Linked DNA regions of Caenorhabditis elegans. The protein of the gene in region 1 purifies or fractionates together with the protein of each later gene. This does not show direct contact. Each region holds a gene or a part of one and is shown in the gene's direction. Other genes may lie near its edges. The genes, in order: F25E2.2 and tiar-2.

What was found.
Region 2: the proteins of F25E2.2 (region 1) and tiar-2 fractionate together in Caenorhabditis elegans (co-fractionation; one large-scale study listed by BioGRID). This does not show direct contact.

The regions. Positions count from the first base shown.
Region 1 is NC_003284.9:803,933-814,047, reverse strand, and holds F25E2.2 (Abnormal cell migration protein 18-like fibronectin type I domain-containing protein), read left to right. Parts: upstream 1-3,253; 5' UTR 3,254-3,324; coding exon 3,325-3,484; intron 3,485-3,532; coding exon 3,533-3,652; intron 3,653-3,751; coding exon 3,752-3,868; coding exon of another isoform or gene 3,869-3,948; exon of another isoform or gene 3,949-4,073; intron 4,074-4,101; coding exon 4,102-4,178; intron 4,179-4,472; coding exon 4,473-4,560; intron 4,561-4,610; coding exon 4,611-4,730; intron 4,731-4,779; coding exon 4,780-4,995; intron 4,996-5,443; coding exon 5,444-5,746; intron 5,747-6,071; coding exon 6,072-6,459; intron 6,460-6,624; coding exon 6,625-6,839; intron 6,840-6,893; coding exon 6,894-6,964; 3' UTR 6,965-7,057; downstream 7,058-10,115. Other genes in the region: Intermediate filament protein ifd-2, read left to right, coding at 1-25; F25E2.3 (Acyl-CoA thioesterase II), read left to right, coding at 948-974, 1,018-1,133, 1,390-1,444, 1,522-1,609, 1,656-1,783, 1,832-1,897, 2,202-2,406, 2,449-2,646 and 1 more; gtr-1 (G_PROTEIN_RECEP_F1_2 domain-containing protein), read right to left, coding at 9,892-10,000, 10,050-10,115.
Region 2 is NC_003280.10:12,764,665-12,776,435, forward strand, and holds tiar-2 (RRM domain-containing protein), read left to right. Parts: upstream 1-4,021; 5' UTR 4,022-4,077; coding exon 4,078-4,202; intron 4,203-4,263; coding exon 4,264-4,360; intron 4,361-4,407; coding exon 4,408-4,503; intron 4,504-4,592; coding exon 4,593-4,770; intron 4,771-5,617; coding exon 5,618-5,923; intron 5,924-7,112; coding exon 7,113-7,297; intron 7,298-8,240; coding exon 8,241-8,558; 3' UTR 8,559-9,750; downstream 9,751-11,771. Other genes in the region: cnp-2 (Calcineurin-interacting protein 2), read left to right, coding at 276-479, 527-589, 635-721, 1,093-1,137, 1,182-1,226, 1,278-1,352, 1,405-1,449, 1,497-1,547 and 5 more; vps-2 (Charged multivesicular body protein 2a), read right to left, coding at 2,658-2,873, 2,942-3,187, 3,242-3,421, 3,482-3,553; Y46G5A.14 (uncharacterized protein), read left to right, coding at 10,384-10,609, 10,761-10,837.

The DNA.
Region 1 (10,115 bases):
GGCATACAACGATTCCTTATTGTAACAACTTCGATTGTCATGTTTTTGTTAATTTTGAGTATTGTAATTTCACAATTTCAAACCACCCATGTTCAAATGTACGGCTTGAACTTGCAAAAGTTTGAAGAATTTATTTTTCTCAATTTTCATGTTATTTATATGTTTTATGAATTAACGAATAAAATGTTTTATTTTACTTTCTATGTAACCATTAATCGGATGAAGGTGGGGTGTTCAGTTTACCAATGTAGATCAAAAATAATTCAAAAAAATTTTTTTTGGTACTCTTTCCCTTTTTGTTTCTGAAACCTGATTATGAAGAAGATGTAGGCTTGATGATGGTTGAAAAAAGTGACGTCACTGGGGCAGGGTTTTCTACACTTTTTTCGAAACGCAAAAGCCTTTTTAGTTGTTCTTTATATAGCAGCTCTGGTGTTTTTTTTTTCTAGCAGGCGTATGTGATTTGAAGTTCCTCTTTGATCACTTTGAAATGTAATAATGTACTGATAAACTGTACACGTGAGGTCTTATGTATTTTGTTTGTTTGGCCACACTATACTAGGCAACAAAATTCCAGTTTCCGCTTTTTCTGACTATAAATCATTGGTTGGCAACTCAATATGCATTTTCTGCATTTCTGAAATTATTATAAATGCAATTTCTCAAAAAAAAAAACGGTTTTTTTATATTTTTAAATTTTGAAGTTTTGAACAGTATGAATTCTGAATTTAGTAGCAAATGCATTTTAAACTGTTCAAATTATTAGATATCACTTCCTGTTCTAGTTTTTTTTCAAAGTCTCATTTAGCCTACACTGTTGCGTCGTTATTGTTTTGTTCGTCATCTCCACTCAATGATTTTCTCCCCAAACTTCTGCGTCTCTCAAAACATGTTTTCGCGTACACAGTTGAAAATTTGAACTATTATTTTCAATTTTCAGATTGATCATGGCAAAACCGAAAGCACCAACCGAGGTATGTTAGGGTTTGTTTCAATTGCAATTTGAAAGATTTTTAGGGAACTCCTTTGTGCAACGTGGAGCATATCGAGTTTGAGTCAAGAGCAAATGATATAAAAGCAGGGCTCATTGATACTTTTCTGAATCTACAGAGAATCGATACCAATCTGTACATGTAAGTGTTGGAAAAATGATGTATTTTCAAATTTTGCTCAACAACATTTTGATTGGTGCTCGGAGACAGCTCAAACATTTTTCGGAACAGTCACTACAAAAATATCCTTAAAAGTGTAAAAAGTGTTCAGGCATGTGCATTATTAATAAAGTCTTTGACTCTGCTTATAATATATTTTTGAATGATGTGACATCACACGTCGCACAATTCCTGACTCGATCATCACAAAACATGAGAACATTAGATTTTCTTGCAGCGCTCGCCACTTGTTGAAGGGTCGTCATTCCTACAATGCCGTTTATGGCGGTCAGGTAAGAAAACTCAAATTTTCAATATAAACTTCCAAATCCTATATATCAGTTCCCACCGATCATCCTCAAATATTTAGGTTGTTGGTCAATCGTTGGCGGCAGCAGCTGCCACCGTGGAAGATTGTTTCATACCTCACTCATTACATAGCTATTTCATCAAGACGGGTCAGTTGATAACAGAAGACGGCAACTGTTGTGTTGTGTGTTTCAGGGAGTGTGGACAAACCGATTCTTTACATGATCGACCGCATTCGAGACGGAAGAAGTTTTTGTACGCGAGTGGTGAAGGCTGTGCAGGATGGAGAGGCAATTTTTTCTTGCCAAATTAGTTTCCATCATGTATGCTGGGGAAATGGAACAGAGAATAAAAAAAGAGATACTTTTCAGAAAGAACCCGATGCAATTAAACATAGCTCCAAAATGCCGGAAGTAACACCTCCAGAACAATTGCTTGTAGGTTGCTTCAAAACAATCAAGTTTTTCCATGCAGGCACCAAAACGCCTGCCACGCGCTTTCTGTATAGTGCCGCGACGGAAGAACCACCTTTGGCACTATTTGGTGCAAACATGAAGCCTTTGATTGTTCGCCATGGCGTAAAAATAAGGCGAGAGGCCGGCGTGAGGCGGGCAGGTTAGAGGCAGGCGTCACGTCCTGAAAACAGGCCCACCTCCCATGGAAGCTTGAAATATAACTAAAAAATATAATAACATTACACTGCAATTCTAGGTTTACTTTCCATTATTATATATTTTCCAGCCAGCTCGAGAAGCAGCGCTGGAAGTGCTCCGCACGAAAGAAGTCGATGAAGTCACCGCTGGTGTCATCCAACATTTTTTGAAAGAAATTCCAGATGCTTTTGAGCGAGTTTTTGATGTTCGCCCGGTCAACCCAGCCAAGTACTTGCTTAAAGAAGATACTGAGCCAATGTCGATGATTTGGATTCGAGCAAGAGAGAATTTGGGTTAGAAGTTCAAAATAATTCGTTTTCAATACTATGATTCAGGAGATGATCACCGTCTCCATCAGTGCGTCGCTGCTTACCTCACCGACTTGAGCATGCTCACCACGGCAGTACGACCTCATATCAGAAACGGATTCATCCCTTCAATGTCTTTTTCCCTGGATCATTGTATTTGGATGCATGAAAATGAGTTTCGAATCGATGATTGGATGCTGTATGAGACAATTAGCTCAAAAGCTGGTATAAAATTCTGTAAAATATTTTTTAAGAAATGGCGTTAAATTCTAGGTGGAAGTCGTGCATTTATTGAAGGCCGTTTATGGTCTCGTGATGGTCGACTTATCATTTCGACTGCTCAAGAAGCACTTGTCAGAGCTCCAAAAGTTTGACAATATTTGAATATTTTGTTTGGTTGTGTATATATATTCAATTTTGATAACTATAAAATGAATAAATGTTTAGAATTTTGAAAAGTAAGTACCAAGTTACTTAACAATAAATTAGTACCATCACCAGAAAGCCTGCATCTAAGATTCGAAGCTTTCAAGAAATCCGCGTTAGCGTAGTAAAACAATTTAGGAAAAAAAATACTAGCAGAAAACTGTTTCCCTAGTTTGAGAAGTTTCAGGACTGTGGTCTCGTTATGGTCTATTTATTGTCATTAAAAAATAAACATTTGTCATATAATTGAGCTCTATGAGCTCCCCATTTTGTTTTTTTAAATAAAGCCCGATCAATAATAAATGTACCAGAGATGTATTTGATACTCGCAGAGACATGTCCGATCGGTTGATAAATCGTTCTCCCTAAATTCCCCCACATCTCTGTTCCCCTCATGTTTTTTTGCATTCTTTACTGCACTTTTTGACATCCCTCACCCATCCCAGCTCCCCAAATTTTCATTCCTGTCTTTTCGACATGAACATCGTTACTTTCCTACTTTTCGGAATATTTCCACTTTCAGCTGCAATTTCTCCAATTAACCTGGAGAATTGTAATCCGGGAAGTTATTTTGTGGAAAACTATATCAAGTACCAATGCTATCAAAGTGGAAGTGTAAAGGGTTACAATATTGCTGGTGGGTTTTGAATTAGAAAATTAAAAAGAAAAAAAAATAAATTTTTAGGATGCCAACCATCGAATGATCTCACCGGTGTCACTTTGCAACAGTGGGAGACCCACAACGAAAAATGGTTCAAGTATCACTGTGTAATTGATGGAACTAATGCTCAGTACTCTGTGAAGAGTAAGTCAGGAGATTTTTGTTTGTTAGTCATGTACCCCTGTTTAAAATTTTGGCTAACTGGTAATCTAATACACAAAACGCAGTTACATAACTTTGCAGCCTGCCTCGACCCCGTAGGAGAAGTTCTACCAGTCGGAAAAACCCGCTCGTTCCCAGATGGAGAAACATTTACATGCTTCATAGAACGCAACAAGGTCAAGCTGAATCACCAAACAAGTGAGCAATACATGATTTATCATGCGATTGTGCCAGCTAACTATGTCATCGTTCGACCAAATGGTGATGTTGAAATCTAATGCATCCATCTGTTGTAATTTTTCAATTATTCCCATTGTATGATCCCTAATAATCTTTTTTATCACTACATATATGGCAAACTTTTGTAATTGTTTAATTTTTAACAATGAAGATGAATTATCAGATTTGTAAAATTGTTCTCAACATTTCAGCTGCTGGATGTCAAGTCGGCGATCAAGTTTATGGAGATAGAGCTACATGGATTGATAGACGAGAAGATGTTATCATTGTGAGTGAATGTCAAAAATCTATTTAGTTGTATTTCTTCTAACAGTTTCAAATTATGTTTTTTAGCGCATATGTTGATTCAATGTTTTGATATGCGTAAGTGAATACTAAGGATAGGTAAAGATGTAAACAACCGGTACAAAATATTTGGTAGTAACACTTTGGGGTAGATTCAAAGACAATTGGCGTGTAAGCTATTAACTTTGATCAACTGGATTTTGGATCAAACGTGATTCAAGTTCTTCATAATTTTTTTTGCAAATTTGATCCAGTTTCCAAATTCCATTTAACTCAGATTGGCTCAGAGAACAAAGTTGTTGGAAAGGGATCTACCATGCAATGCAAAAAATCGGAAAATGGCTCATTTGTTGTAGAAGTTGCAGGTTGCACTTAAAAAGATACGTATTAACCAACTTTACAACTTTAATTCCAGCCTGCTTAACTGCAGAGAACACATACATTCGACCAGAAGATTTCGGAACTGTAGACGATGCAGTTGTCAAATGTGCAATGGTTGAGGGGAAGTGTGTGCTGAGAAAAGCTGAAGTCACTGGTAAATCGTAAATGAAAATTTACAACTTTTGTTACGGTTTTTCTATTAGAACTCGGATGCAGACACAATGGAAAAGTATACAGGCACAATGAGGAATGGAACTCGGAAGATGGTGCCACGGTTTATGCATGCCAATTCGGGAAAGTGGAGAAAGAAGGATGCCTTGTTGGAAATTACCTTATTCCATTGTATGCAATTCGCTACGTTGATGGAAACGCTTTTTATTGTTTTCAAGGAACACAAGTTCGATCATTCGGAGATTTGAGTGAGTTTGCATAACATATTTAGTAGGGTATTCGGGTTATCGCACAAGAAAAAAACATAAATTATGTTGTAAGGTGACATATTAATGTGCATAGTCATAAGGAAATTAATAAAAAAAATACCAATGAGCTACCGACCGTTTTGTGGCTAGGCATAGAGGCTAAAATGCTACACACAAGAACTCACCCTACACTGCACAAGCGGGGTAGACATATCACATAGAACAGACTATATACAGGTTGGAACTCGATAATGATTTTATGTCGGTAATCACTTTAAAACGTGGTTATTTTCTGTATTTTTATTTCAATACAAATACATTTCGCTTTATACGACGTTGGTTTTATGAATCTAACTATATTGAAAAATAGGAAATTTCATTAAAAGAATCTACCGAGTTATTGAAAATGATTGGTAATAATTATAAAACCAAAATCTTTAACTTTGAGAGGGCTGCACAACAACATCCGGCGATATCATCCAATTTGAAAATCGTGCTAGAAACGGAGACCGCCTGGAATCCTGTGGGTTTAGCATTAATCGAGATGGAACTGTCGAGTTTAAGTGGACACAAGTCGGGTGTATTTATTCAAAGGAAATGATAACGGTAAATGCAATTCAACAATTTGGAGACCAATACGTGCATTGTGCTTTGAATGGAACTGCTGGGTATATCGTAAAAATGATGACAAGAGAAGAAGTGGAGAAGTGGTTGACAGCGACTAAACAGCAGTGGAGCAATATTGTTTCAGGTATTTTATGAGATGAAATTGTTATTTTAGAGCCAGAAAAAAGTTTAGAATTTATAATTGATTGGTGTCCGAATTTTGGAAGTTTTCACTGTAGATCCAAAATAAATTTTTTTGGAAAAAAGTGACATAGCTTACCTGATTCTAATGAGTTTTTTCAGTGGGATTATTTTTGGTCTAACATGTACTACTCTTAATCTCGGACATCGATAGTGTTTTTTGGTAGAGCAGTGTAAGTGTCCCTTGTAAAGTTTTTGAAAAAAAAAACATTATTCATTCATGCGCACAAAAATGATTATCAAAAAAACTTCCACCGGCAAATATTCAGGGAAAGATGGAAAGGGAAATTCTGTAAAACGAGAAGTTCCAACAACACCTCTACCTACAACTACCACCACTACTACCACAACTCCTAAGCCAACAACCACTACAACAACCACTACAACTCCAGCACCAACTACTACTCAAAAACCAACTACTACCACAACTACCCCAGCCCCAACTACAACCAGCACTACTTCAATTCCAACTACCATTGCAACGACAACTGCTGCTCCTTTGAAGAAGTGCACCGATTTTGTGGAAGATTGTGACAAGTTAAGAATCTATTGCCATACGGAGGCAGAAAATGCAAAGTTTTTGAAAGAAGCAGTGAAGAAGTTCTCGACGAATCCGAAAAATAGATCGAGAATGTTGGAATTCATAGATCATGTTTTGTAAGTTCTTTCAACAAAAAACTGTTAACAATAGCATTTCCAATTTGGTTTTGGTAAGAAAAGGAAGTAGTCAAAATTTTTTGTAATTAACCGTTTTGCAAAAGAATAACATCCGATCAAAAACGATTTGAATTTTTTTTTCAAGATAAATTTAAATAATTTCAGCTTGGAAGAACAAGAACCTGCACACCAGAAAGAACAAAACAAAGAACAGGATTGCCCAATAAACTCGAAATCTTGTGAAAAGTGCTCTCACTCCAAGTGTGAAAAATGTGCAAAACACCCTCATCACCATTGTAAATGTGAAGATCAGAAAGAGTTTAATAGAAAAATTGTGAGAGCGTTGTGCCCAAAAACGTGCGATATTTGCAACGAAACACGTAAGTTTATTTTTATTCAAAATCAAATTTAATTAAAATATGATCATTTTCCAGATCCATCGGTTTCAACGATTTTGTCAACTAGAATTTCTGGAGCTTGCCTGAAACCACAGTGTGAAATTTAATTTAATCTTTGATGTGGGATGTTTTGTAGACTTTAATTTAAAGTAATGGATCATAAATAGTTTTTTTTTCGCATAAAAATTTTGCAAAATATTTTTTAATACCTTGAAGCTGTACAGTTTAAGCCAAGAAAAAAAGTTCAAAATGTTTTATTTTACAACTGAAGTGAGTGTACGTTTGTGATGAAAAAATATAATTCCTTTTTTTTCAAATCTAAAAATTATAATTTCTCTTTCTAGAAATTTTAATACACAAATCTAATCTGCCACGGCTGTGTTCCTAATGACCCCTGTACTATTTCTCATAATTCAGCTGCGTATTTTTTTTTCCCTGCGCGTATCGGTTTAACGAAACAATTAGCTTGCGATCGGATGAGACCACACAAGAGACGCAGCAACAAACACCCCTGCGCGATAATCGCACAGGGAGAATAAAAGCGGAATGCGAAGAGGGAATTGGCAGGGGAAAATAATAGTTGCATTAAAACAGTAGCTACTTCATTTGTAATTTATACAAGAAGTAAAATATTTTTTAAAATACTATTTGAATACAAAACAATTAAGATACGACCAAGATATGTATTACTCAGAAAATAAAACATTTCAAAACTGTTTTCAGGCATTGGGTGTTTGCTAAATTAAAATAACTATTATAGAAAAAATATGATCGCACAAAAATAAACAACGACGCAACGACACAAGTTTGATGTGATATTCACTTTTTCTTTATAAAGAAGAATACGATTCTTTCTACCCATACGACTCTAGATACCAATGTGAATTGCCGTAAAACTTATTTACCGGATTTTGTTAACAAAACAGGAAGTTTTTCCTAATGTAAACAATAAAAAACAAATTTTAAACTATTTAACAAGGACACGGAAACAAGGTTTTTTTCCTTATTTTTTCCTCTTCTCATTTTTTATTCAGTGATTATCTTTCCGGTCCCCAATCAGTCAGAGAACTAACTATCAATCTTCGACTATTATCCAACTGTTCCACAAACCTCCAATACTTTTGAAAAACAATTGGTACGGGTCGGATCTTTTTGCTCGATCATGATTGGTTCAATGTAACCATGGAGGAAATGACCCAACAGTTTACTATGTCATGAGTGTTCCAGTAAGAAGATTTTACCAAGAATTTGAACAGTTTGGGTAATTGGAAAGTGTCTTCGGGAATCTTTATACCTCCGATTTTTTTGAATATGTTTATATTCTGAGTCGGATCTTCTTGATCGATTGTGGGCTTTGTGGTCCGGTTTATTGAAGATAAGAACAGCCGTTATGGGAATTCAATTTAATATTGTTGTGTATTTGTTATAATCACAGATCATATATCTCATCCTGATCGCCAGTTGTTATGATCACAGATCATATATTTATTGAAAAAATAGTTAGAAACAATAGAGCAATAAGGGCTAAAGGCAAGGTAGGGAGATAAGGGTAAAACAGTCTCTTAGGCCAGTAGAAGAGTGTAGAAATGAACGAGTCATCTCCTTTTATAGGGGTGAACGGGAAAGGGGGAAAGACGCGGGAAAGTGGGAAAGTGCATACTACAAAGACACGAGGGCAGATCAATAAAGGTAGATCAAAATAATATTTATACGACGGTCGTCGTAACAGTATTGCATCATGGAACATGGTTTTTTGTTTCTGTTGTGTTATTTTTTTGCCACTCACGTTTAGTAGGATTTTTTATTTCGATTTTTTTGTTTGATTTAAAAATAGAGAAACAAATAAAAAATTAACTAGGGAATGGCCAAAACCCAGAGTGGCCATTTGGCTCGAGACGTATGTCATTCGAAAGCTGAGGTTGTCAGGAGTAAGAATACCATTTCAGTTTTTGCCAAATGGCCACTCTGGGTTTTGGCCATTCACTGGTAAGCAGGACAGGTCTGACTAACAATTTATTTTTATAAAATTCTCGTTTCAAAATTAGAGATGTTTTTTAAAAAAGAGACCTTAGTCTTAAAAAACCTTCATGAAACTCTTCAAAGATTCTTAAATTCTTTAAAATTTCCTGTCACATTTTTGGCAAAATGCTTCTAGGAAAAACTTGTTTTTTAAAATAAGAATTGTTGCAGGTTTGAAGTCCATTTAAGTATAAACAATAAGAATATTATGAGAATATAAATTTCGTAGACAAGACTTTTTGTTGACTTTCACATGAGTAACAGTTTGTCTGTATTTTTTGAAATGTTAAGCTTTTCACAATGATGTTTAGTCCAGTTAGCAACCATGGAAATAAATTTCAAACTGGGAAAGCAAAAACTGGGTCCTGAAAAACCAAAAACAGCATTGATAACACGTGAAAATTTGGCAACTTATTCTTACGCACAAGTCAGAAAATTTTTAGATTTATCTACAAAACTTTTCAATATCTTTAAACCACTATAAAGTATTTGAAATTTTTTAAAGAATTATTACGATGTTTGGTTTTTTTTAGAAATTTTGAGTTTTTAAAGTCAATGACCAAAAATAATTTTGCCAAATTATAAAAATTACCCTACTGTACTAAAATTTTGTGGCGAAATTTGAATACACATCTCATACACGCGAACCGCAATTTTTATGTGTATTCTCTTCTGAAATCAGCATGTTTTAGTCAGATTAAATCAACAAAATACTAATTTATAATCGGATTTTTTAAATGATGAATTGAATTAGTTTCTTTGAAAGTTCAAATACCAAATCTCATTGACCAGTGTTTGCAAGTTTCTCAACAGACGTTCAAAGATGATAAGGATATCAAGTTTCAGGGCCGACGTTTTTTTTCTAAATAAGATATCAGCTGATTGTTCAATTTTTCCGAAAATTTTACGAACAGAATATTTATTAAAATAACCGTGAATTGAATGAAAATGAGATCTTTAGATTTACAAAAGTGATAAAATTAAACACAGCAAAAAAGGGGAAAAGTTGGTAAATTCAAAGCCTAGTTTCGAAAGCTTCTTTTTCCTCTGTGTATAGAGCATCTGTATTTTTAGGCTTCCAAATCCGTTTACCCATGGTAGATGCACAAGTGAGACAGTTTTTCCTGTAATATGAAGTTTATAATAAAACTGTTTCAGACCATACAAATTCACCTATATTGCTTAATGACTATAATTGTAATCACCGCGTCTAGAAATGGGCTTAACGCAAGCCAGAGT
Region 2 (11,771 bases), on another chromosome or scaffold:
AGTACCCCTAGAGTATCACTGCAGTACTCGAAAGCCACAGTAATCCTACAATATCACTACAGTAATCTGAAGCCACAGTTATCCTACAGTACCCCTTACAGTACCCCTACTTCATTAGTACCCCATACAGTACCCCTACAGTACCCCTACAGTACCCCTACAGTATCCCTACAGTTCCCTTACAGTACCCCTACAGTCTCACTACAGTACTATACAGCCACAGTAATCCTACAGTACCCATTACAGCACCACTTCCAAAATATATTCAGTTCCAGATCCCTCGGCAAAACCACCTCTACAGTGAGCACAGAGCGTCCAATTCCGATCCACGTAGTGGAGGAGACGTCATCAATCGATATGGATGTCGTTTTTCCAAAAATGCCACATCATCAAACCGTGACAAACGTCAGAGTTCCTTCGAGCAGAGGATCAGCAATATCCAGAGCTCACAGTGAGCATCGCAGGTCGATTGACAGGAGGTAAAAAGTGATATGTAGCACATTTTTAATCATAATTTTTTTTGCAGCGAACCACGTCACCACCATCGTCATCATGTTCATTCCGAGACCCCTGAACTTCCATATACTAGGTGACAAAATATCTGGGCACACATTTGTATAGAAAGACTTTTCAGAGGGATCTCCAAGACTCCGAGTGTTCGAGAATACAATGTGAAGCGGGAAGGTCAGAGATCGCCAAGCAGGTCTCATAGATCTGAAAGGTACGGTCGATCCGTTCTTAGCTTCGGTTTCTGCTTAGGCGTAGGCCTCGGTTTAGGCTTAGGCTTAGGATAAGGCTCAGGCTTAGTCTCAGGCTTAGTCTTAGGCTTTGGCATAGGCTTGGGCTTGGGCTTAGGATGAGGCTTAGGTTTTGGTTTTGGCTTAGGCTTAGGCTTAGGCTTCGGTTTAAGCTTAGATTTAGGCTCTGGCTCAGGCTTAACATAAACTTTCGATTAGTATACTTTTTGTTGATGCCATCCACCAAGTATTTACGGGGTTCCCTAGTTAGAGTTAGGCTCACGCTTAGGCACAGGCTTAGGATTAGGCCTAGGCGAGCTACTAGTTCATACAATTTCTCGGTTTTTTTTTGCAGAAGCCCATCAGAGGTCCGTATCCCGGTGACAACTACACATACTCGGTAGGCTTTGAGAAATTTCTAAAAATTAAAAAAAAAATTTTCAGCCCGATTGCAAAACGCCAAAGCCCGGAGGAGCTGGATTATGGAAGGTGATTGAAACTGCCGAGCTCAGTTGCTGATAAAATTATCGAAAATTCCAGATTCGCGGATAAAAGTCAGCAGAACCGATTTCCGGGGGATCATCAGGCTAGGGAGGAGGACTTACCGTATACCAGGTAATTTTTTTTTAACTCGGGGAGCTTTCGGCAAACCTCGATAATTTTTCAGGGGAATTTCCAAGACTCCTAGCAATCAGGATTCCAGGTCGGAGAGGTAGGGTAGATTTCCAAAAATTTAAAAAAAAAACCAAATTTTTCTAGAACTCCGTGCTCGGATATTCACATTCCTTACAATAACCCTGAAAAAGAGAGGTACAGTAGCAAAACCTACCGTAACCCTACAGTAATCCAAATTTCAGAGCCTATCAGCAATCCGAGCGGTCGTCTTATAGATCCCACAAATCGGTGACCCCATCAGAAAAGTCGTAAGTTTTTTTTTATACAGTAGTCCTATAGTAGTAAATCCAGGTTACCCCGCAATTCGGAGACCCCCGAGCTACATTACACCCGAGGAATCTCAAAAACGCCAAGCGACAGGGTGGAGAAGTCAAGGTACCTATCACGTGGTGTCAGTACCCCACATACCCCATCTGAAGTGCACATTCCATACAATAATCCAGAGAAAGAACGGTAAATTATACCTGAAAATTGAAGTTTTATCGATTTTTTTGCAGAGCCTACCAACAATCGCACCGCCCGTCTTCGCCAAAGAGACGCCCGTCTGGAAGGTGAGAAAATCGATATTTTTCGATGAATTAATCGATAATTTCAAAGAAAAATCGATATTTTCTAAAATTTTTCTGATTCCGGCCACGGGGTTCTGGCCTTCCTCATTGAATTTTTCGCGCTCTATTGACAATCATTTAGTTTTAAAACTAAAATCGAGCCGCGACGCAACACGCAACGCGCCGTAAATCTACCCCAGATATGCCCCAGCCAAATTGGCCTAGTTCGGAAAACTCTTCCATTTCAATTTATGAGGGAAGCTAGAAATCCCATTAATTCCGGAGAAAAATTCTTCCGAAAAATCGATAATTTTCCCATTTTCAGAACAAATTCCCCCAACAAGTCCAGCAGCAGCTCCAAGGTACAGTAACCACCCCCCCCTCAAACTATCGATTTTCCAACAAAATTTGTTTTCCAGGCGAGACCATCGGCGGCTCCACTCGAAGAAATAGTGCATATCAAGGAGAGATACGAGAGAGACGAGACGATTCGCCGATTCTTCCCAACTACGACTGCAGTGTAGACTATCTTAAAATTATTTTTCTCGAATTAAAAAAAAATTGATTCCCATGCTGTGCTTTCTCGACAATAAATTGCTTGCCATACATTTTTTTTGTGGATTTTTCGGCGAAAAATTGAGGAAAAAATCGAATAAATACACATAAATTTACAAGAAATGAAAAATCAGAAACAGAATCATTCTCTTCTAAGCTGATCAAGACGGGCCTGAAGATCATCGTCAACATCATTTCCACCACCGGCTCCACCGGCTCCATGATGAGCTCCACCGCTACCTCCAGCTGCAACAGCTTGGCGACCGCCGATCCGTTCTCCACCAGCATTGAGTCCACCGGCCGCCGACGGGAGCCCGGCCATTTCTTCGCCCATTTGTATGCCTAACTCGTCGAGAACCTGAGAAAAAAAAACATTTATATGATGAGTTTTTTAAGCCAAAATTCGCGTTTTTCTCGCTTTTTTACCTGATTAACGATCTGATCGGTCTCCTCCTCATCGCCGGCGTCTCCAAGAGCATCATCGATCGCGTCGCCCATCACCTCCTCCTTCATATCCATGATTTCGCTCTGTTTCTCGAATTCCATCATAATTTTCTGGATTTGTGGAAGATTCAGCTGCCGATTCATCGATTGCATCGCTTTTGTCACTCCTTTCATCGCCGACGCCATCGCATCTTGCGATTTCAGGGTTTGAACTTTCAGGGAGACCGCCTGAAGAGATTTAGAGATTTTTGTTTTATTTTAATTCAATTTCCGTGATTTTACCTGAATATTTGCCTTCATAACGATAAATTTCTTGATATAACGACGAGTTCGCACCAGATCCTTGGCCATCACTTTTACAGAGTCCATTTGATTCTTCTTTGCCATATTCTTGATATCCGCGATAACCTTCTTCTCCTGAGCCTCCATACGAGCTCTCTCGCGGTCCAGCTCTCGGATGGCCTGAAAGTTTGAATTTTTCATGATTTTCAGTTCATTTTCTCAGTTTTTTCAATAATTTACCTTGTTCAGAGCCCTCTGATTCTGTCGAAGAAGCTCGGCTGGCGTCTTGCGGCGTCCGAACAGGAAATCCATCTGAAAAGTGGAATATTTCGTAACAGCCGATAAAATATTGATTTCTGGGTGAGAAATGAGAGAAAAATAGAGTTCCAGAGCGGGAAAATTTTCTAAAAGCACTAAATAACAATAAAAATCAAAATAATTCATTGAAAATTGATTAGAAATTGTTCTTAAAATGAGGAAATCAATGCAAATATAAGGGTATGCAAGTGCGCTCCACCGGACAACTGATGATTAATCATGATTCATCGATTTTAAGTGAATTTATATCGGAAATTGTGATAAGAAATTTCGCAATTTTTATTGAAAAATGATAGTAATGGCTAAAACTTTATTAAATAAATAAAAATAACTAAATTTAAGATTAAAAAGTTGAAAAGAAAGGGAAAAAATAGATTTTTAAAAAACAAGTTTTTTTGAAACATTGCAAGCGCGCTCTACGGCACAATTTGAATTTATTTATTTAATTTTTGGTTTTTATTTGTTTTTACCGGATTTTTATCGAGTTTTTCGCGTTTTTCAGCAAAGTTTTGTAAAAAATGGCCACTTCGTTCTACACGGGAGGTGGCGAAGACGGAGACGGCTTCAATCCCCGTGTGCACGCGAGAATCGCCGAACGAGAGGGTTTTCAGCTGGCTTCTGGCTCCGAGGACCCGAGAACTTTGTAGGATTTTTTTTTCGCAAGAAGATTAAAAAATATAATAAAAAACCCGCGATGCTTGCAGATTCGTTGCAAATCTGGATCCGGCGATAACCGACGAGTTTCTCGCGACGCTTTTCAATCAAATTGGCGCCGTTATGAAGGCAAAAATTATTTTTGAAGTGATTTTTCATCGAAATTCCGGGTCTTAAACAGATAAATATTGCAGGGACTCAACGATCCGTACGCTTTCGTGGAGTTTTCCGATCATAATCAGGCTACGCTGGCTTTACAGAGCCACAACGGGCGGGAGCTGCTGGAAAAAGTGAAATTTTTGGCTTAAAAATCCCGGGAAAATCCGGGAAAATCTGAAAATTAAACTAATTGCAACAGAATTTCAAAAAAATGTTTCAGGAAATGCACGTAACGTGGGCATTCGAGCCCCGCGAGCCGGGCGAAAACCGCTCAAAACCCGAAACTTCTCGACATTTTCACGTTTTCGTCGGCGATTTGTGCTCCGAAATTGATTCGACAAAGCTCCGTGAAGCTTTTGTTAAGTTCGGAGAAGTTTCTGAGGCGAAAATTATTCGCGGTAATTTTTTTTAATTTGAAAAAAAAATTGAAAATTCTGGAAAAATCAATATTTTTCGACTAATTTGATTATAGAAAATTACGGAAAAAACATTTTAAAAGAAAATTGGTTCGACAAATTGCCGGAATTGAAATTTCCGGCAAATCGGCATATTGCCGGAATTGAAAACTTCTGGAAAATCGGCAAATTGCTGGAATTCTAAATTTCCGGCAAACCGACAATTTGCCGGAATTGAAAACTTCTGGAAAATAGGCAAATCGGCAAGTTGCTGGAATTCAAAATTTCCGGCAAACCGGCAAATTGTCGGAATTGAAAACTTCTGGCAAATTGCCGGAATTGAAAATTTCCGGCAAATTGGCAAGTTGCTGGAATTCAAAATTTCGGCAAACCGGCAATTTTCCGGAATTGAAAATTTCCGGCAAATGCAAATTGCCGGAATTGAAAATTTCTGGCAAATCCAAAAATTGCCGGAAAATAGGAAAATTGCCGGAATTCAAAAATTTTGACAAATCGGCAAATTGTTGGAATTGAAATTGCCGGAAAATAGGAAAACTGACGGAATTAAAAATTTCCGGCAATTTGCCGATTTGCCGAATTTCTCCAAATTTTAATCTCAATTTTTGAATTTTTTTGAATTTCTCTCCTTTTTAAGGAAAAACGAAAAAAAAAGTGAAAACTGTACGACCAATCAGCGTCTTCGACTCCGCCCCCCCCCCCCCCCCCCCACTCAACCCGATTGGTTGGGAAGTGGGCGGAGCAAAACGCTAATTGGTGGGCCCTATTTTTTCGTTTTTTTTCCCTTAAAATGTCTAAATTTCAACCAATTTTTAAATATTTTTTTTTGCAGATAACAATACGAACAAGGGAAAAGGCTACGGATTCGTATCATACCCCCGTCGAGAAGATGCCGAAAGAGCTATAGATGAGATGAATGGAGCATGGCTTGGCCGACGGACTATTCGAACAAACTGGGCCACCCGGAAGCCTGATGAAGATGGTGAACGTGGTGGTGATCGTGGTGATAGAAGAGGTGGAGGTGGCGGTGGAAGAGATCGTTATCATAATCAATCGGAAAAGACTTATGATGAGATTTTTAATCAAGCTGCTGCTGATAATACATCGGTTTATGTCGGAAATATTGCCAATCTTGGGGGTTCGTTTTCAGAAATTTTCAAAAAAATTTTCAAAAAAAACTTAAAATTTGCGTATTTTTTTTGTTAAAAATTACAAAAAAAAATCAAAAAAATTTAGGTAAAATTGGCAATTTTTTTAGTCGAAAAATCGGCAAATTTCAATTCCGGCAATTTTTGGATTTGCCGGAAATTTTCAATTCCGGCAATTTTCCGGTTTGCCGGAAAATTTCAATTCCGGAAATTTGCCGATTTGCCGGAAATTTTCAATTGCGGCAATTTGCCGATTTGCCGGAAATTTTCAATTCCGGCAATTTTCCGGTTTGCCGGGAATTTTCAATTCCGGAAATTTGCCGATTTGCCGGAAAATTTCAATTCCGGAAATTTGCCGATTTGCCGCAAATTTTCAATTCCGGCAATTTGCCGATTTGCCGGAAATTTTCAATTCCGGCAATTTTCCGATTTGCCGAAAGTTTTCATTTTCGGCAATTTTCCGATTCGCCGGAAATTTTCTTTTTCGGCAAATTGCCGATTTGCCGAAAATTTCAAATCCGACAATTCGCCGGTTTGCCGATTTTCTGGAAAGTCTCAATTCCGGCAATTTGTTGATTTGCCGGAAATTTTCAATTCCGGCTATTTGCCGGTTTACCGATTTGCCGGAATTAAACATTTCCGGTAATTTGCCGATTTATCGGAAATTTTCAGATCCGGCATCATGCCGGTTTGCCGGTTTGTCGGATATTTTCGTTTTTGACAAATTGCCGATTTGCCAGAAATTTTTAATTCCGGAAATTTGCCGATTTGTCGGAAGAAATCGTTTACCCCGATTCATATTTACAAAAAAAACTTTCCTAAATCGGCAAATTGCGGAATTGAAAATTTGCGTCAAATCGAAAAAATTGCCGGAATTGAAAATTTCCGGCAAATCGAAAAATTGCCGGAATCTAGGTATTCTAGAAGATCGGCAAACCGGAAAATTGCCGGAATTGAAAATTTCCGGCAAACCGGAAATCGGAAAATTGCCGGAATTGAAATTTCCGGCAAACCGGCAAATTACCGGAACTGAAAAAAATTTCGGCAAACCGGCAATTTGCCGATTTGCCGAATTTGTCGACAAAAAATTTGCCGCACTTTTGCTGCTAGAATTTCCGTCGAAAAAATTCCCCAAAAATTCACCACAAATCCTCCAAATTAATTATTTTTTTTTTGCAGAAGACGAAATTCGCCGAGCTTTTGACCGTTTCGGACCAATCAACGAAGTACGAACATTCAAAATTCAGGGATACGCATTTGTGAAATTTGAGACTAAAGAATCAGCGGCACGGGCGATTGTACAGATGAATAATGCAGATATTGGAGGACAAATTGTTCGATGCAGTTGGGGAAAAAGTGGAGATGTTCGTGGTTTTTTCGGTGAAATGAAGAAAAAAATGCCCAAAAAATCACCCAAAATGGATTAAAAAAAAAAAAAAAAAATTTCTTCAAAAATCCCGTTAAATTTTAAATTAATTTAATTTAATTTAATTTAATTAAACTTTTATTTCAGAATTTTTTAGAATGAAAATTCCAAAAAATTCAAAAAAAAATTGGATTAAAAAAATCACAAATTTACTTAATTTTTCGAAAAAAAAAATTTAAAAATTTCGAGAAAAAGCTACACACTGGAATTTAAAAAATTAACTAATAATTATTTTTAAAAAAATAAAAAATTTCTAAAAAATTATACTGGTTTCAATTTTTTAAATCAAAAATATAGCTTAGGAATTTTAGGAATTTTTTTATTACTAAAAATTCTATTTTTGCAGCTTCTTTGTAGAGTTTTTTCTCTAAAAAATTCATTTTTTACTCGAAAATCGGGAAAATTTTGAATTTTCAAGAAAAAAATGCTAAAAATTATTTAGACATTGAAAAATTCATTAAAAATTTCTGTTTAAACCTGAATTTTCAATCCAAAAAAACCACAGATTTTGACAAAAAACAACTGAAATTTCCAGCTTTCCGTTTTGCCAGAAATTTCAATTCCGGTAATTTGCCAATTTGCCGAAAATTTCAATTCCGGCAATTTACCTACTTGCCCGAAATTTCAATTCCTGCAATTTTCCGGAAATTTCAATTCCGGTAATTTGCCAATTTTCCGGAAAGCTGGAAATTTCAGTTTTTTTGTTGAAAACCGAAAAATTCAGAAAAAACTGAAATAAACCAATTTTTTTGGCAAAAATTGCTTTTTTTTTTAAGAAAAAATATTCTTAAATTTTCCTTATAAAACCCTTTTTAAAATTTGAATTTTCAAAAAAATTTTCTATTTTTTCTCAAAAAGTCACCTAATTAATTTTATTTCAGTCTGGAAAGCCATCCGAGCGAGGATCCGGCGGTGGTGGCGGCAGTGGCAACTACGGTTACGGTTACGGTAACAGCGGTGGCGGCGGCGGCAGCGGAGGACCCGGAAATTCGCAATTTTCGAATTTTAATCAACGACCCCCACCATCTGGAAATGGTGGTTCTGGAGGCGGAAGTGGAGGCCAAAATAATCAATATTGGCAGTACTATTCGCAATACTACAATAATCCACATTTGATGCAACAATGGAATAATTATTGGCAAAAGGATGGACCACCACCACCACCAGCTGCAGCAGCTTCATCTACTGGAGGAAATTGAGAGCACATTTTGTGAAAAAATTATTTTTTTTTTGCTGTTTTTGGAAATTTGGAAATTTCCAATTTTCTTAATTTTTTTGTTGCTGTTTTTGGAAATTTTGTGAATTTTTTTTCTGAAAAATTGGAGAAAATTGAGCTCATTTTATGGAAAAAATTCTTTAAAAAATCAATTTTCTGAGATAATTCGTTTCTTATTTTGTTAATTAATTAAATTTCAGCAAGATCTTTTTCCAAAAAAAAAAAAACTTGTAAAATTCCAGTTTTTCTAGAAATTTGGAGGGAACTGAGCACATTTTGTGGAAAAATAATTCTTTAAAAAATCAAATTTCTTTATTTTTACTGTTTTTGGAAGTTTTGAAAAAAAAATTCCAAAAAAACATGGTAACATTCCAGTTTTTCTGGAAAAAAATTGGACAAAATTTAGCTGATTTTTTTTTTGAATTTTTCAAATAGTTATTTAATACAAAAATAATCATTTTCCTGTTTTTCCAGCAAAAATTGAGCACATTTTGTGGAAAAAAATTCAATAAAACTTTAAAAATCATTTTTTGAGTAACATTGAAATTTCCTATTTTCTTGATTTTTTCCTGTTTTGGAAATTCTGAGCATTTTTTTCCCAAAAAAAACTGGTAAAATTCCTGTTTTTCTGAAAAAAAATGCAGAAAATTGAGCGGATTTTTGGAATTTTTTAAATAGTTATTTAATACAAAAATAATTATTTTCCTGTATTTTTTTAAGAAAACAAAATTTAATTTTTCTTAATTCAACAATTTTTTTTTTTCAATTTTTTGAATTTTTCGGAAATTTAAAATTTTTTCCAAACATCTTTTGCTTCAGTTTAACTAAATATATTGCTGAGTTCTGTGAATTTGCAATTTATGTTTTGAAAATTCCGGAATTTTTTTGTTTTGTATTTGTCCTCTCCCCAAGAAAATTGCATTTTTTAACGAATTAGAAATCCATTTTTAATTATTTTTCACCCAATTTCCCCGTTTTTTTTGTATATTTTCATCTGCCTTAATTTATTGATTTTTTTTTCTTCCCCACCCCCCTGAATTCCACGCGTTTCTATTTTTTTTTTGCAACAGAAAAATTGTCTAATATAAAAATGTCCTATGTTATTTACTTCCTGTCATTTTTTTATTGTAAAAGTTATTATTTATGAAATAAATAAATGTTCATGGAGCCGGAAAATTTCAAAAAATCACAAAAAAAAAATTTGTTTGTTTGTTTATTCGAAATTAGATAAATAGTATTTCGAATTTAAGCTCCTTAACTTAAGCTCCCCCCACTTATTGGCACAAAATCTCAAAAAAAAATTTTTTTTTTCAATCTTCTCTGCAAATTTTCCGGAAAAAATTGGGAATTAAAATCCAAGACGTGAACCTTTTTTAAAAAATATAATGTGTTTTAATGTACAAGGGGCAACAGAAAAAAAAATCGATAAAAATTAGCCAAAAATTAGTTATTTCGAACAATCTAACCGACGGCGTTATAAACCATTTTTATCAAAGTGTGAGTTAATTTAAATATATATATATATATATGTGCTGGGTGGCCGCTAGAAAAAAAACATAGGTGGCCTAGTTTTATGCTTTCCTGCCGGCGGGCATTTACAGCGCGGCCTAGCGAAACAATCGATGGCCTAGTTTTCTCAATCGTTCAAAACTCGGGCCTGCGATTGACAGACTTTTTAGAGATTTTTCGATCGAAATCTTGAGAGAAAAAGATCCTAGTTTTCAATTTTCCGGACCTGTGCGGAAAAGTCGATCTGTGAAATAATGACAATTTCCAGGATACGCTCAAACACGTGACAATTTGAAAAAATGCTTATTGAACTCCTCATATCCATCACCGTGCTCGCGTCGATTCTCGTCTCGTGCAAGAAAGAGAAGAACGAAGCGGCAAAACTGAAGCCACGTGGCTTCGATCGAAAATCCAGTGGAGCACCGGCTCCGGCTGGAGCCAACTTGGTTAACAAGTCTGGCGGTTCCGGCGGAGGTAGTGGAGGATCTGGAGATGCTAATAGACTTCTCAAAAGAGAAATCAAAGGTGGGTTCCACATCAGCCATGTTAGGGTGCGGGCCTTCGATATTTTTCGCCGATGTGTCCACCAGGATGGCACTCGATTGCAATAGTCGAATTTTGTCTGCATTCGCTCACCTCGATTTTGTCGGCTGCTTAAAAATGTTTTTTTTTGCAGAAGTAAAGATGGAGGAGCGTTCGGCTGACGATAACGAGACAATCAACGATGTAAAGTCCAACTGGGGAACTGTTTGAAATTCATGTTTTTTCTTGTAAATTGAATGAACTGTAAAAATGCTTAGACATAATTGAAAAAAAATACTAGCTATATAACGTATTTTCATGATCTGATGGCTCCGTAATAGTTTTTGTGTGTCGCGGATCCACCGCGGTAGCTGTAGCAACCACGAGAGCGCTCGCACGTGGTCGCTGGCTGTCCTTTTGCATAATTTTGAAGCAAATGCGCCTCATTGAGAATTCACGTTGGCGCCAACTCTCGCTATCCATTGGGCGTGAGAGACGCAGATACTACTTTTTTCTCTGGACGTGAAAAACGCCAAGAAAAACCGTTTTGCCGTCTGCGTCTCTTCTTTCACACGCTATTTTGGCTGTGGACGAGGAATTCTCCTCTTCCAGGATTTTCTAGGCCATTTTCTCACATTTCTCAAGTTTTCTCGTCCGCGAGAAAACGTGAATTTCGAGACAGCCAGCGAGCACGTGCGCTCGTCTACTCGGTAAATCGGCGCCACTGCTCAACCAACTTGAGCCACTTCCATTTACAAATGTGGCAAAAGTTGGCGAAAGTTGGTTGGAAAGTGGCTGATATCTAATGGCAGTTAGAAAGTGGCCAAAGTTGGTTTAAAAGTGGCGCCGAATTGCCGAGATAGTTATTATTGATCTACCCGTTTGATCTACCCGCCACTTACTCATTCGTCTTCCTTTACTATTTCGCAATCACCTTTTGTCATCATTCTCATTCTCACGCATCCACATTCACTTTCATTCACTTCTTGCACAGAGCCTACTATATAGCCGAAAGGCTACGCTCTCTCGTCCCCATCAACCAATTCGCACTATTATTCGGATTGTTTAATCCAATATTATCACGTGGTGTCAGAGTGTCTCATTTCGGCTTGATCTGCGTAGATCTACAAAAAATGCGGGAGAAGAGACGCAGAGTTCTCAACTG